Linked DNA regions of Styela clava. The protein of the gene in region 1 interacts with the protein of each later gene in a biochemical or structural test. Links are inferred from orthologs where the notes say so. Each region holds a gene or a part of one and is shown in the gene's direction. Other genes may lie near its edges. The genes, in order: pre-mRNA-processing factor 6-like and CD2 antigen cytoplasmic tail-binding protein 2 homolog.

Region 1 (8,984 bases):
CCAAGTAAGAGTAAAACGTTTGTATTATTATTATTATTTAAATTATCAAACTAAGCAACAAACTCATCCCTACAACGCGCTGCCCGGGGTGGCTGCCTCGGTTTAAGTTATGATACTTTATTTAATTATCGAAGAACGGATTAGCATGAGAAATTTGAACCATGTTGAGGTCTAAGTATTGTGTAGAGAAAGAGAGTGAGTAAGAAAACTTCCTCTAAATATAACAAAATACTTTTCACGTTTTCTACAGTGTCCACACGCCTCAAACCAACTCATCTCTTTGAATCCGTGGCCAAGCCGTCTTTACACACCTCAGACTGATATGTTTGTTTGAATTCGTATTGAGTCCACTCGTCCGTGGAAGAATAGTTAACTTGGTAGGCACGTCACCATCACCAATCTTACTTTGTTTCTTTGGGAAGAAAACGCTCACTATTTTCCACCTGTCGTTGAATGTCATTAATACGCAAATAACATTGATAAAACTTACTACGTCTGCTCCTGTCGCACTAATTGAAAGAGGAAAGGACCCTGGAATCAAACGGATAAATACTGCAAGGAATAGGATGTCAGAGACAACAGCAATGCATGTCCAGGTTAACATACGCCGAAATATTTTTTGTATATTGCTAGACTTCGAAGTTTCTGCATTGCACAAAAGTTTTCTCCACTTTGACCCACTATATCTTGATTTGAATTCCATTGTGTTCTTCACAATTGGGTAGGCGAGCAGGCCAAGAAGGATGAATTGGGCTAGAAACATTGGGAGGTACAATATAGTATACAAGGGTCTAATTTTGTTTTTAATATATACACAACCCTGAGATACTCGCTCGTAACGATCAAATACAATGAAAATATTTATAACTAGAATCAAATGCGCAGAAAGCATCGCAAATATTCCCCAACTCAAGAAATTAATGAATTTTCCTGTAGTGAGACTTTTTTTATAAATTATTCTTTGTCTCACCCATAAGAAGGAATAAGTAAGATATGTAATGATCACGTAATAAATCTTTGCCACACCATTGACCGTATAACATAAAAAGAAAGTGTTTGCTCCCCGGAGTGCCTGGATGTAAACTAGTCCGATCAGAAATTTTGGAAGGAGGACGCCTTGAACAATTGTAAAAAGAATGTGCAAAACTCTACCACTGAAAAATGTTGTCGTTTCGCCGTTTTTCTTCCATTTTCCATTCTGAATACAGTAGAAAATGAAACTCGCTAACATCCAGCAGGATAGTAAAAAGAGAATTGCTTCAACTGCATGTAATAACGCCAGTATTACACTAATCACAGAGGCGTCCGAATCTCCATCGTTGAAGTTGAATGTTTGATTCGAAGCGATAGTTGAATTCACTTCTATAAAAGTGTAGTTAGTAGCAGATTCATTGGAATTACGACTGCCATTGCTTAGCACCTCTGTAGATTTGCTTCCAAAATTCATTTTGTTTTTATACTTTTTAATCAAACGAAGAACATATAAATACCTAATTCAAAGACGTACAAGTAGTACAAAATTTTTACTAGAATTGAAGTTTCATACGATGACTGATGAAAGTGCCAGAACATGAACGACAAGGCAATATATATGTGATGAAACACATGCGTAAGATGCGTTAATTATTGTTATTATGTAATAATGCATTCGTAACATCCTATTTAATCAGTATTTGTTAGCGTTACGTACAGAAATTTTGTTTTTGGACACGTAGTGGACATAACGATCGTTTCAATATTATGTTGTTGTTGTTGTTCTTGTTCTTTGACACGTTTTTAAAAAGTCGCTTTTCTCTTCGAATACTAGACCAATTGCTTTGAAATTTTCAGTGGTTAAAGATTAATTTTTTCGCTAGAAGGCTATTACTTTTGTTTATTCTTAAATTTTATATGAATCCTATGAGATATGATATTTCATACAAAATTTCGCGGTATTTATTACTCATGGGAACACTGTTTTACACTTATTTCAAGCGGTTTCGCGATCGATTGTCTTGCTCAGTACTACAGCTACTGTAGGTCGGTACTGGTAAGTTGCCATACAGGTACCGTAACGCAGTGAAATTGACTTATTCCTTCCGCAGTATTACTAATGCTGCAATGCAAGTTTTATAGCCTATCGTATGCGGAACGGAATATCAGACCTACAGGTTCGGTACCGGTACTGGTAGCTCAGTACGTAAGTACGATACTGGTACTGGTACCGGTGTCTTACCACAATGAAATTACCGTAACTTATTCTTTCACGGTCCTACCAGTGCAGTAATGCAAGCGTTGTAGCCTACTATATTTGTTTATTTTGATGAGAGTCTACTGGAAACAACATAAAATTTGAAAGGGAAGAATTGTTCTGTGATCAAATATCTGTCCTAAAGTGTAAACAACATAAAATTTGCAAGGGAACAACTGTTCTGTGATCAATTACGGTACCGTATATGGCCTACAGTGTACAGGTAAGATGCTGGCTGACTGCTAACCGGTACTGGTAGCTCAGTACGTAAGTACGATACTGGTACTGGTGCCGGTACCGGTGTCTTACCACAATGAAATTACCGTAACTTATTCTTTCACGGTCCTACCAGTGCAGTAATGCAAGCGTTGTAGCACTTGTAGCCTACTATATTTGTTTATTTTGATGAGAGTCTACTGGAAACAACATAAAATTTGAAAGGGAAGAATTGTTCTGTGATCAATTATCTGTCCTAAAGTGTAAACAACATAAAATTTGCAAGGGAACAACTGTTCTGTGATCAATTACCGTATATGGCCTACAGTGTACAGGTAAGATGCTGCCTGACTGCTAACTCAGTACCGCTTGACACGTTTTTAAAAAGTCGCTTTTCTCTTCGAATACTGGACCAATTGCTTTGAAATTTTTAGTGGTTAAAGATAAAAATTTTCTCCAGAAGGCTATTACTTTTTTTCGCTATGACGTCATCAAAATTATGTGACTCTACGTGTCCATATATTTGAGCATAGCTCTCTTGTTAAATATTCGAAGATGCTTTTATTCTATTATTAATGACTGTTTCTCACATGTTTTAAGGATTACTAATTACTTATTTAAGCTGAAATCTTCTTGTCGGTTTATTGGACACGAAATGGACCTATAGATCGTTTTGTTATTATGTTGTTGTTGATTATCATGTTGTTAGTATTTTTTTCTTTTTTTTGCTGTCAAAATCGCTTTCTATTTAACTGTTGGACCAAATGCTTTAAAATTTTCAAAGATTGTATTTTGCACTAGAAGGCTATTTTTTTTAATTTATTTCAATATTTTTGTGGGCTCTATGGGATTTGTTTTTTGGCGCTCTAGAAGTATGTGCACCAAGATGGCGAACAACAACATGATAACCCCAACCTGGTACACAATATACTATGGTCAGGTTGTGCGCCATCCTGTGCACCCAATTCGGGAGCACCGGTTTCTGTGTGCGATTTCGTCATCGAAAATTGCTCACCTTGTGGCAGTTTGCGGTACGTGTTGAACTTCGTGTCGATATATTTGAGCATTGTTCTCTTGTTAATAATATTGATCGAATACTTTACAATTCAGCCACCAAGATTTCAGTTGTACAATTTTGATATGTCCGTTTTCCTTTCTAATGCATTACATAAAAATTGATGCATAAGCCTTGCAGATAAAAACATAATTTGACATTATTTGATTCAAGCCGGAAAAGAAATCAGTGATTCGAAAGTCCGGTGAGGAATAGAGAATCTCGCACATAACTATCTCCCGTGGGATTTGACCCTGTGAACCTACGCAGGATAATCAGAGGTGCAGTGGCGATCGTTTATCTAACGCTTAGCACGATGCGCCCACCGCCGAGTCACGGGAATATGTAATTCCATTCAACACTCAAAGAAAGGCATGGTAGCTGACGTTTGGGGCAAGTCACATATCGCATTTGACAGAGAATTTTCGTTACTTATACAGTAATAATATTCGATAACAGAATCTTTGTATTATTCAGTTTAATATTGATATCACTGTTGTAATAATGTTATGCTATTTAATTAACATATTCATATGTTACCTAGCAAATCATTCAGCGTTCTATTCTTTGAAATTTTGTTGATTTGCTTTCATATTATTAGAAACAAATGTTTTTACGACACCTGTGGGCTCGTTGATACCGTAATGATTTGAGCGTTTCCATCGCCTGATCTGTTAAGCCGAAAAATATTGGATTTCAATTATCGCAACTAAAATTTCGGCGGCTGAATGGTAATGCTGTTGAGCAATATTGCTAGTTAGGATAGGATTTGCACATTTATCTCGGAGAAGATGAAAGCCGATTAGACGGCTTAATCATATGGCGAACCGGTTACACCCTAAAGCGGTGAGGAGTCTAGCAATCCTCTCGCACATAATCAACCCCGCATGGGACTCGAACCTTGCGAACCAACGCAGGGTAATCGGAGATGCGGTGACGAGCGTATTCGTAACGCGAAATATTTTTATTTCCACAAAACAATGTTAAAAAGGACAACAGTACAGATTATGTAGACAATATGAAATTATAAAATAAAGACAGAAAATGAGACGGCTGTTAAAATAAATTTTTTTTACTATTCGACAATTTACATCAGATTTATTGTATAGTTCAGAGGGCATGTGTAAATAGTTAAGAGGACATGTGTAATGCTTAGCACGATGCGCGTCACACCGACGATTTAGCAAGATTAGGAGTTTTTATTGTAAATAAATAATTAGTAATCCATAATACATGTGGGAAACAATCATCAATATTAGAATGGAAACATCTTCGAATATTTCAGAAGAAAATCACTGTATTTAATTTATCTGTTCCTGCTTATAACCACCACTTTCTTGTCGAAAATAAAATTCCGAGAACGATACCATTCGCAATTCCGAACAAATCATCTTTCATTTTAGTAATGTAAAGTCGATGATCGAAGCAGCACACCTTATAATTATATTGTCATAACTCCACATTTTTTTTGTTTTTTCAATGTATTTATACCGTTATATTCTGATATTACCATCAATGCGAACATTAAACAAAATCATTCCTCAAACCGCCTTGTGGTTGGAAAAGTTCGTGGGGCGATAGTATAGGTTCAAAGGTTGGAGTGCTCAAAAGAGAATTCTGAGGGGTGCACTGCGACCTGTGTGCAAGATGTCTCAATTCCGTTTGTCATTGGAATTTATTTGGCACAAAAAAGAAAGATTACTCAACAAAGGCAAACGGCAGAATTTAAGTATTTAATTTTTTTGTTACTTCCAGAAATTTAGATAGAACAGATACTGCACCTAATAGGTTCAATTCTAATAATTGAATGGCTGAGTTAACTGGCGTTGTACAAACACAGAAAAAAAAGAAACCTTGGTTGGGGCAACCAGCTCCCCCCGGATATGTCCCTGGCCTCGGGCGTGGGTATGTTTTTAATTTAATTGCATTGACATCAGTTTGTTTTAATGATTGAATGATTCGTCATGTATGTGTGTTTCAATAGTTCACAGTTTAACCAATATATCCAATGGTTTTATTGTCTGTATTGGGGTCTCTCTCCTATCGGGATCGTTGCGACGACTGGACGAGAAAACAAGAGCAATGGCTGTTCGATTTCGGGTTCTCGTCTGCGTGTCTTGGATGACAGTTCGCATAATTTGAAGGGCTCTATTACGTCACTGTGACTTCGTAGTGACGTAATTTTTAGCTGGTGTGGTCAGGCCTGTATTGCGTACCGTCAGACCGTAGAACTTGCTAACACCATTTTGAAAAACTATGCAAACTTAAAACTATGCTTTGAAAAAACAAGAACGAATTTGCTGATTATCTTGACACTCCAAGGACGGGTTCGCACGAGCCCCCTGAATTCCACCACTGATTAAACAGTCAGTTATACAGTTACACTACAACTACTGGACTATAATCAGCCCGACGAAATCTTTTTTTTTACATCATGATAAATATTGTTTACTGTTTTGTTTTGTTTTTATGTCAGAGTACCGAAATAAATGATTGATTGATTACTCTTATTTACAAAATCTATATTCAATTTTTCAACTTCTATAAAGTTATTAAAATGGTGTGGCAAACAATTCCCTGTTTTTTATTACAATTCTTGTTTTGGGTCCTGTATAGTTTAATAGTGCAAATATGTCTAGTAGGCATGGCTCAACAGTTTTCGCATATGTCATTTCTAACCCCCACCTAACTATGTCATCCTGAGTGACATCACTATGATGGCACAGTGACGTAATAAGGCCCGCCGAAATATTCGGGCAGCTGTCCAGAATGTGCTGGGGATCACCCAAAATCGAGAGGGTTACGTCATATACGTTCCCTCCTTTTCTCGTCAAAAATCCTCATATGAGAGAGATTGATAGGGTTAATGAGTTTGTTATCACCTGGCGCTGACGCCATTTTGAGCGATGGTACATACAATTTTGCAAGCTGTATGACATGAATGTAATGTTGTAGTGACATAATTTATGGATGGTGTAGTCAGGTTGGGGTTAGGAATAGGATTGACATGAGCAAAAATCATTATGCTACGCCCACTGGAAGTACTTGAGGTACGAAACTACACAAGACCCGATGTAAAATATCTGCAGATTACATGGCCTGCGTACTCCTGTCACACACAATATCTTTTCAAGGATAATGATAATTTCATTCAAGGCTTAAGCGGAAATGTACAAAATAATTTATTTGGAATTGGTTAACTTCCGTGATATAAAATATTTAATTTTGGGAACATTTGGATTCCCATTTTCAATTTTTTTACTTTTTATCTTCAACATTGATAAAAAAAAGATGAATTATTTTCACAACTTTTATATCATATTTTCAGAGCTACAGGTTTCACTACGAGATCTGATATTGGTCCAGCTAGAGATGTTAGCGATCCAACAGATGACCGCCATGCCCCTCCTGGCCAGCGAACATTCGGAGATCAAATGAAAGCAAAGAAACCAGAGGATGAAGAAGAAGATCTCAATGACTCAAATTATGATGAGGTAGCAATTGAAATAATTGCTTTCTTTTTGGCACTCCCTATGTGAACCAAGATGGCGTACACTATAACGTAATATGTGTACCAGGTTAGGGTTGTGCCATAATTTCAAGTCCAAATACTACGGTAGTCACTTGGCTGGTCACCGAAATCATAATAGAATTCAAATAAGGAAAATTGGCATAAAATTATTGCCTAACCCTAACTTGTTCAGGTGTCCACCATCTTGGTTCACATACTACGGTAGCACCTTCTTTTTTTTCAAATGTTTACCTGAGATACAAACTCAAAATGCACTGGTCGTTTATGGCTTTCTCCGCTATCAAATAAATGGCTAACTATTCCCATATTAGACATGGACTGGTAGCTTGACGAGAGGATGTGATCTGACACATGGTTGAGCTGTCTTATCAACTATATTCTTTCCTGAAATAAATATGAAAAATCCATTTATCGCTATATGACGCATTATGGCGTGCTAAGCATTAGGTTTACGCTCGCCACTGCACCTCTGATAACCTTGCGTGGGTTCGTAGGTACGAATCCCATGCCATGCGGGTTGATTATGTGTGAGAAGGATTGCTGGCTTCCTTCCGAACATGGACTGGTAACCGGACGAGAGGCTGTGGTATGCCATATGATTAGTCTGTCTTATGGCTTCCCTATTCCTCGGGATATATATGTACTGTAAGTCCTATTCTATAAGTATTGTTGCAGTTGAAACTTTTACAGACTAACAAAATCCATTTCTAGAAAATAAGACATAAACTAGTTTGAATTTACTACGATGATATATGTAGACGTTATCACTTTTACATATTATGCTATGATGAAGTTTTTGTTTGTATGGAAATTCAAAACGTCTGCAAATTGCATGTTTTATTGACACCTTGAACGTTTTATATAAGTTTATTTCGACTCCTTAATCAGCATAACAATAAAATGATTGATAAAAACAAATAAAAAAAATGATTGTGGAATCAGGAGAGCGAACAAAACCTTAGATAAGGTTTAAAACATACAAAATATAAGATGGAAGGTTTTGCCAAGAAGAATTGGTATGTGTTCACCCACCTAAAATTATTAAACTATTTCACACACGCACCCACCACACACACAGAGAACCACAGAGGAATTATTTAAGTAAAAAAGAAAACGCGACCTAACTTGTCCTAATATATTTTATGTAACGAGTAACGACTCTATTATACTCCTGTTTCTAAAACACAATCTGTATTTCAGTTTACTGGATATGGAGGAAATTTATTTGCATCTGCTCCTTACGAGAAAGACGATGAGGAAGCAGATGCTGTTTATGATCATCTCGATCGGAGAATGGACGAAAGAAGGAAGGAATATAGAGAGGAAAGGGAACGAGAAGAACTGGAAAAATTTCGTGAAGAAAGACCAAAAATTCAACAAATGTTCTCAGACTTGAAAAGAAAACTTGGAGTGGTAGGATCTCAAAAATTCATTCTTTTAAAAACCATACATGAGTGGCTTAGATTGACTAAGAGTTTTTGGGTCTAGTGTAGTTCGTACCTGAAGGACTTCTAGTGGGCGTAGCATAACAATTTCTTCATTATGTTAATCCTAACCCCCACCTGACTATGTCATCCGAAAATTACATCATCACGACGGTGGGGGTTAGGATTGAGATGTGCAAAAATCTTTATGCTTCGCCCACTAGAAGAACTTGAGGTACAAAACTACACGAGACCCGAATTTTTGATAGTTATATCACAGTAAAAATAAAATACACCGGCAGATAGAATTAGGGCGCTGGAGCCAAGCTTACCATAATAGACGAGCTGAAGCTACCAGAAATTATTCAATTGATTCCAAGTTTAAAATAGTTAAAAAGTGTGTGCAAAAATCGTTATGCTACGCCCACTAGAAGAACTTGGGGTACAAAACTACACGAGACCCGAATTTTTAATAGTCATATCACAGTAAAAATGAAATACACCAGCAGATAGTGTTGGGGAGCTGGA
Region 2 (7,716 bases), on another chromosome or scaffold:
CCGTATCATCCTAAACTTTTTGGGTAATTCATATGCGTGTTTTCGTACTCTAATTTCATAAAATCGAGTGATATTAAAAGGAAAGTAAAGCCAAAACCACACCAACACCAGCTTATGAGATTTGTTTCAGAAGTTTCTGATACAGATACAGACATGGATTAAATATCTGTGACCCACTCTCTTCTGTTCAACGATAAAAATATAATTTTTGACCCATTCAATGAAAAAGGTTCGCCATCCCTGCGACTAGGGTTATGTGAAACCGAAGCTGGTATATTGGTTTAATCACCCGGAGAAATGAAAAAGCATTTGGTGTGCTCATCCATCGCTAGCCTCCGAACAGGGGCGGATTAACCAGTAAACAATATAAGCACGTGCTTAGGGCACCAAGCAAAGGGGGGCACCACAGAAATTTTTATAACAGAATTTTCAATAGTTCATCGGTGTTTAATAAAATATTACGAGTTGAACAGACAACTCAGACTTGTTCGTATTTTCTTTTCCTCAAGCATCATATTAAGCTTCTAGAATCTAGATCAATGGTTGGAGGTTTGCGAACTACCTTCGTGTACGTGTACATCAATGGACCTATCCCCGACCATTGACCCCCGAAAAATTCTTCCTATACTTTACAATTGCAAAATTCTCGGGGCTTATTTTAAAAGTGGTTTCGCGAGTTGGCCCCTATAAAACGGGATATTTGTTGAGACTATCATTGTGTTTCATGGCGTACAATAATCACCTTTTTATAAATACCGGTAAGGAATTTTAACCTAGTCTAACACAGCTATTTTTACACCAATTTTTCATTTACTGCAATTGAATTAAAACTTATAAAAAGACATGGTGATCATTTAATTATCTGATTTATACTCAAATTTCCGAAACACAACTGAAAACTTACGAATAGAGATAAAAAACGCGAAAACGAGATAATGTTTACAACTATGCCTGAAAATCTGTCTGAGGGAGAAAAGTGTCTGAGCGGATGCGAAAAGGGTGCATTGTTACGTCACTTTTTTGCATCTTGCTGATTGGCCAATTACTCGAAGTCAACAAGGAGGTTGATGCTCGGGGAAGGTACATTAGTGATGAACACTGAAACTTACTTGTCGAAAGTTTGGTGTAGCGACAACATCAAAATTAAAAATGGCGCACTATGTGGCGGTTCCGCGATCGCATTTCAGCGATCTAGAGGTCAGCGAAGTTGGGGAGTTTTCTGGTAAGGTAGACTAGACTAATAAGTACTGGTAAAATTTTAAACTGCAGTTTGTACTCGGTTCATCTGGTATTTCGATTCACGTTGAGACTTGACGCGTGAGTCTTGATCGTGACAATTCCCAGAATATATGGAAATCATATTCTGCTAAGCCAGTTGATGCAAACCTAGGCAGCTAGACTACTTATATTGCAGATAAAAATGCAAGAGCTGGAATTCGTTTTATGTTATTGTTTTGGAATGAAATTTTACAGAGTAAGTCAAGTTCTGCAAAGTGAGAATGTAGACTTACAAACATGCGCGCATCTGAATGCATCATTACGAGGCCAGCTGCGCATTCCACGAGATGAATTTGAACGCTATGAAGCGCTCACGCTACCACTGCAACCAAATGTCTCTTCATCTGCTGTCTGCTGAGAAGGAAAAGTATTCGCAGGGTTGTCAAAAGATTATTGATGCTTACCCAGAAGATTTCAACAGTAATTTCTCAGCTGAGCTTCAGCAGTTTCATTTATATGTGCTCCATAAATTCAATGACACAGGAAAAAAAATCAAGACTCAGTCATGCTGAACTTTACAAAATTCTTGTAGAATATAACATTGAGTGCGCCTTTCCAAATGTAGACAATAGCTTTCGAACATTTTTAACATTAATGATCACAAATTGTTCAGCAGAACGTTCATTTTCTCAGCTGAAGTATATTAAAAACCCCTACAGAACAACTATGAAACAAGACAGACTAGAATACTAGATGCTTTATCTCTGTTGAGTATAGAGGCAGATGTGTTACATAAGCTTAGTTTTGAGGATCTAATCAAAGACTTTGCAGCTAAAAAAATTAGGAAAAAACTTTTCAAAGGTAAGTGAAAGACTTCTGTCTTTTCAAATGTTAGTGGTGCCTTTGTAGTGTCAGTTGCATAGTATCTAGTATGAAGAGAGACTTGTTTTGATAATATGAGAAAATTTATCAGAATCAAATTCAAGTAAACGTACCGAAAAACATCGTTTGCTTCCTTACTGTTGGTATTGTGTTTATTTCAATTTCATCTTTTCAAAATTTTGTGTTGTTCATTATTTAATGTAAAAGATGTATTTTGTAAGAATAAGATTGGTTTTGGGAATATGAGCAAAATTTCACAGTCAAAAAATTGTAAGAAAACCTAAAAATGTTCGTAGAAGTTGTATTTTTTTACTGTTGGTTGTGAGTATTTTTGATGGATAATACACTTAATTATATGTATTTTAAAAGACATATATGGGGGCACCAAAGCCTCCAGTGCTTAGGGCACCAAAGGGGCTTAGTCCGCCCCTGCCTCCGAATATCATGTCCGACTGAAAACGGTACAAAATCATTGGATATCTTTTATAGCATTTCACGCAACAGTATGCTAGAGTCGATCTGCCGACATGCAAATGGTTTCATTGAAAATAAGACAGTGTCTTGTGATGTCCTTCATTTATCAAGAACAAAATTACAAAGTATTATGAAAGTACATGAATAATTCCATCCTAACACACAATTTTAGAAAGTTCTTAGTATTTTTAAAACGATAAAGAAGGAGTCACGTCTATGTCAGTCAGGTGAAATTTCACAATTTCCAAACTCTAACAGCATGTCATTCCGATTGATAGGGGCGAGATTTTATTATTGAATATTATAATAGTATATATGTGGTACATCATACAATTAAAGTTGTTGGAAACAAAACTTTGCATTTATGAGTAATCCGTTACTGAAATTGGCCTTTTTGGTTAAAGTCGACATAAGTGGAAAACATAAAATTTTACAATTTCCAGACTACAACAGCCTGTCCTTTTTGATTAAGAGTGGCGAGATTTTATAATTGTTGATACATAATTTATTATATACACTCCTCATCACATAATTTCGGTTGTTGGGGAAAAAAATTAGCATTTATGTATAATTCGTTAATGAAAATGCCCCATTTGTTCAAAATCTACATAAGGGAGAAACGTGAAATTTCACAATTTCCAAAATACAACTGCATGTCTTCCGATTTAAGAAGGGTATGATTTATTAAAACGAAAAAAGAGCAAAAATCTATTTTAACCGGGTCAATATTGAAGTCTGAGTCGTCAGACCAACTCGAATTAATTCAGTAACCACTGAGGCACCATTGTAAATACGTGGTGCTCCCCTCCGATAGGTGCTTACACTGCTTAGAGCACGTGCTTATTTTGCTTAATGATTTTAATCAAACATTCCTAGCCCTGACGATAGTTATAGAATACTGTATAGATAAACGGCTTACATCCAGGCAATAATCACGATCTTCGACCCAATGCAATATTTCATTATTGTTCGAGATACGGAGGCTCGTCAGAGATTGCCATTGATTGAGTGACGTTACCTGTTAATTAAGTAAGATTTTGAAAGTCCGATCCTCATCGGTAGCTATGGCGCAACAGCAGCGTAGAGTCACGGTAAATCGTAGGACCAGGGTTCGGATCCCATGGAGTTGAGCTGAGTAATAGTGAAGGACGTGTGTATAGGTAGGTAATGAGCTGGTCAGAGAGGACACGTAGCGAGCGAGAGTACAGGCAGGGACAGGACTAATAAAGAGCAGCCAGCGGAGTAGAAAAGCGAGTTTCAAAAGTAGGAAGGAAGGGCCGGTACGAGAGCGTGAAAGTAGAAAGGGAACTCAGCGCAACATGTAACCAGCAAATGAGACAGTAGTAGTACATAATGTGAGTCAACACACTGGTCCGATGTGGCGGGAATGCAGGTAGGGCTCACGGAAGAAGATGAGGCAGGGGTTACAAAAAAGCGAGTTACAAAATCCGGACTGATTTAAGTTAAATAAAGTTCAGTCCAGTTCAGCGAGCGTTATGTGAAGCTGGGTCAGCCAAACAGAATCCGAGACATGACATAAAGCAACCAACAGAGTAAGTTAGTTAGTAAAAGGAAGGGGCCGCCAGTCAAAGCAACATTGTGGACCAGCAGAGCAGAGAGTGTGTCGGATAAAAAAAAAACGAAACATTCAGAGAGGGGCGGGCTCAGGGAAGAAGAAGCTAAATAAAGAGCAACGGAGTAGAAAAGCGAGTTACAAAATTAGAAAGTAGGGAGGGGCCAGCCAGTCAGAGAGCGGATGAACAGAGTTCGAGACATGACGGGAAAGATAGGAAAAAGCAGCAGAGTTAATGCGTTAGGTAGTAGTCAGGGAGTAGGAGAGTAGGAAAGGACCAAGTGTTGAAAAAAGAAGACAGCACAAGCGAAACAGAAAGTAGAAAGGGGCCCAGGGACCAGGAGTCGAAAAAAGAAGACAGCAAAAACAGCACAAGCGAAACAGAGTCGGAGGAAGTTAATGCGAGTTACGGAAGAAGGGGCCAGGAGACAGCACAAGCGAGACAGAGTCAGCAGTCTGAGGGGAAGGACGGACGGACGGACGGACAAACAGATGACAGACAGACAGGACGACTGACTAATAAAAAACGAGTTACAAAATCAGTAGAAAAGCCAGTTTACAGAATCAGACAGGACAATTGCAGAAATTTAGCATGTTGGTGTAAAAATGCCATTTGTATTGTCCAATCAATCAGCTTGAGCAAGTGGGGTGGGTGCCAGTTCAGAATAAATGGTGGACAAAACAGAGGAAGAAGATGACTAAAAAAGCGAGTTCACAGAATCAGACGAGAGCAGCGGTCCCCATGTGGTATTTATTATATATATATATATATATATATATATATATATATATATAATAGGGAACCTCAGGACAATTGCAGAAATTTTGCATGTTGGTGTAAAAATGCCATTTGTATTATTGTCCAATCAGTTTGAGCAAGTGGGGTGGGTGCCAGTTGATGATGAGCCAGTCGATGATATATATGTGTCGGAAATGACGATAACACTGAAATTTTCTGTACTGGGATTTTCTGTGGTGAGGTCAATATTTATTTACTTGGCTGAAATGAAATGAAATGAAATGACTGATTATGAACATTTAAAAACTAACATGTAAACAACTTAGGGAACACTATCAGTTGAAGTAACGCGATACTACGAGAAAACACATTACCAACTCCAGAAAAAAAATTCTGGGGTCAAGGGTCGAGAAACATCCATTTGTATTTGGAAGGGTTGGGAAAGTGATTATTTTGCTCAAAACTTCAATAGTGGGGATGAATATATTAAATAGTATGCGCTTTGCTTATTATTTATGTTTAATATTGTGCAAGTGCTAACAAAGTGACCGGACAATGTGCTCACTCATGCTCATACCGAACACCCAGAGAGATTTATTGTTTCGTAAATGAAAAAACGAGCGCCGGGTCGTGGAATTTAGAAAATCTCCGAAGAAGGCTTCCGCAAAAGCAGCAGTGACTTCAAGCCTCGGCCTCTTATGATGCTCCGTTGATGGCATTTTCAGAGTTTAGTGATACCTGTATTCAGTGTAAAATGCTGGAATGGATATTTTCCAATTTTATTTTATCTTAAAAATATTCATTGACTGAAATTTTTACTTTTTACAGTTATAGGTACCGTACCGGTATGTCACAGCTCTATACGGTATCCAAGCCAGATACCAGTATTTTTTGAGATGTCAAAAAGAGTGAGATTCAGTGGTGAAGCTGGTGCAGAAGAGACTGTGCATAAATTTCCAAAATATGATGATGCATCTACAAAAAAATTTGAACTAAAAAATAATCAGGAAGATATTGTTGGACGGAGTCACCATCAATCTAGATTCAAACTCGACCACAGCCTTGATAGTGATGAAGAAGATAATAATAAGAAAGAAGATTTTGAAAAATTAACAGAAGAAGATGTTGAAGGAGCAGAAGATGATTATGTGGACACAGGGGAGGAAGTTGGAATCACACCTTTCAACCTAAAGGAGGAAATGGCTGAAGGAGACTTTGATGTTCAAGGGAATTATCATTTCCGGAAGGAGAACGTCATTCGGGATAATTGGTTGGATAATATTGACTGGATGAAAGTTAAAAAGAAAGATGTTGAAATGGAGCAAGATTCATCTGATGATGGAGAAAATACTTTAGATGAACTTGAAGTTTTGAAGAAAATAGTTGCTCTCATGCTACCTGGAGAAACATTAACCAGAGCTCTTCGACGCCACGGCGGAAAGGAGAAGAAGAAACGTTCATGGCGAAAAGAAAAAGTTTACGACCTTAATGCTACAAATGAGGAAACAAGCACAAGTAATGAAAATGACAAGGAAGCGAAACAGAAAGAGAAATTGTTGGAATTGACTGGTCTAGCAGATGAAATGACTGGCGCCGGACATTACGATGTTTATACAGATACTTACGAAAAGTTTCAACATAAAATTGAAAAAATGGAGGCCGAGAAAAAGGCGAAAGAGCCAGTTATACCTGATGACGCGGATGACGATGATGCTTTGGATATATTAGCAAGTAACATAGATGAAACAGACAAAATGAATGAATCTGGAAGTACTAATAGAAATGAGAATAGTAACGGTGAAAATGTAATAAAATGGGAATTTAAATGGACTGAGGAAGATTCTGAAATCCATGGACCTTTCACATCACAAGAAATGTTTGAATGGCAAGAACAAGGTTATTTTAAAGATGGTGTTTTGGTTCGAAGAACAGATCGTGATGAATCACAGTTCTATTCATCCAAACGAATAGATTTTGATCTTTATACTTGATCTATGAAACTAAGCGTCCTCATTTTTTCCAAATTCTTACTCTTCTTTAATGTGGATTTACTCAGCTGTGGGAGGAGATTTTTTGGGGCATAAAGTTTATCTGTAAATTATGTCACAACTGCAAAACTAAGATTAACTCAATCTGAGAAGTTATGTAGGGTAAAAATAACTCTGCATTTGAGGGTTTTATAGATAATGTTACTATTTCTTGTGCCTCAACTGTGTGTTGATTGGTCTCACTGCTGCACTGAGTTGAGACTAAATTACAGTCTTTCATTTGCTATTTTGTAGATTATACCTTGTCAAAATAATCTTCAAAATATCAGTGAAAGACCCTGCTTTAGTGTTTTGGGTGTCAGTTCATTTAAGTTACAACGTTAAACTTTGTCAGCTGATAATGCGTTTTTTCAAATGCCCTTTTTTGGCTTAATTTTGGTCATGTTTCAATTACAGAGTATTGGAAATACTTTTTGATAATTTTAGTCTGCAACAGTCATTTATCTTCTCCTTAATTTTATCGAACTACTAAATTTTCATCCCTTTGGCAGGAGTTTGACCTAGAGTAGTTCCTATGTTTTATTTGGTTGTTTAAATCGTTTGGTTCCCAACATTTTTAACGCACACAAATGAAATGCCAACAAAATACATAAAACAAATATTGGTTTGAATATGGAATATTCAATATTTTTTTTTATTTTTTATTTAGTGAAATAATGAAATAATGGAGGTTACAGGAGGTTCTTCGAGCACCAACACGAATAATGTTATTTCGGATAAAGACGTGAATATTGAACTTGGTTTTGAAAAATTGGAGGATCAAAATTTCAAGGTACATTTTT

Evidence for each region.
Region 2: the proteins of pre-mRNA-processing factor 6-like (region 1) and CD2 antigen cytoplasmic tail-binding protein 2 homolog form a complex in vitro, tested with the Homo sapiens proteins (2 studies listed by BioGRID and IntAct). The link is inferred for Styela clava from reciprocal best matches to the Homo sapiens genes PRPF6 and CD2BP2.

The regions. Positions count from the first base shown.
Region 1 is NC_135256.1:6,263,067-6,272,050, reverse strand, and holds the start of pre-mRNA-processing factor 6-like, read left to right. Parts: upstream 1-5,227; 5' UTR 5,228-5,307; coding exon 5,308-5,405; intron 5,406-6,828; coding exon 6,829-6,994; intron 6,995-8,232; coding exon 8,233-8,445; intron 8,446-8,984. UniProt on the Homo sapiens protein: Involved in pre-mRNA splicing as component of the U4/U6-U5 tri-snRNP complex, one of the building blocks of the spliceosome.
Region 2 is NC_135258.1:7,298,534-7,306,249, reverse strand, and holds CD2 antigen cytoplasmic tail-binding protein 2 homolog, read left to right. Parts: upstream 1-5,715; 5' UTR 5,716-5,782; coding exon 5,783-6,877; 3' UTR 6,878-6,887; downstream 6,888-7,716. Other genes in the region: ELMO domain-containing protein 3-like, read left to right, coding at 7,599-7,706. UniProt on the Homo sapiens protein: Involved in pre-mRNA splicing as component of the U5 snRNP complex that is involved in spliceosome assembly.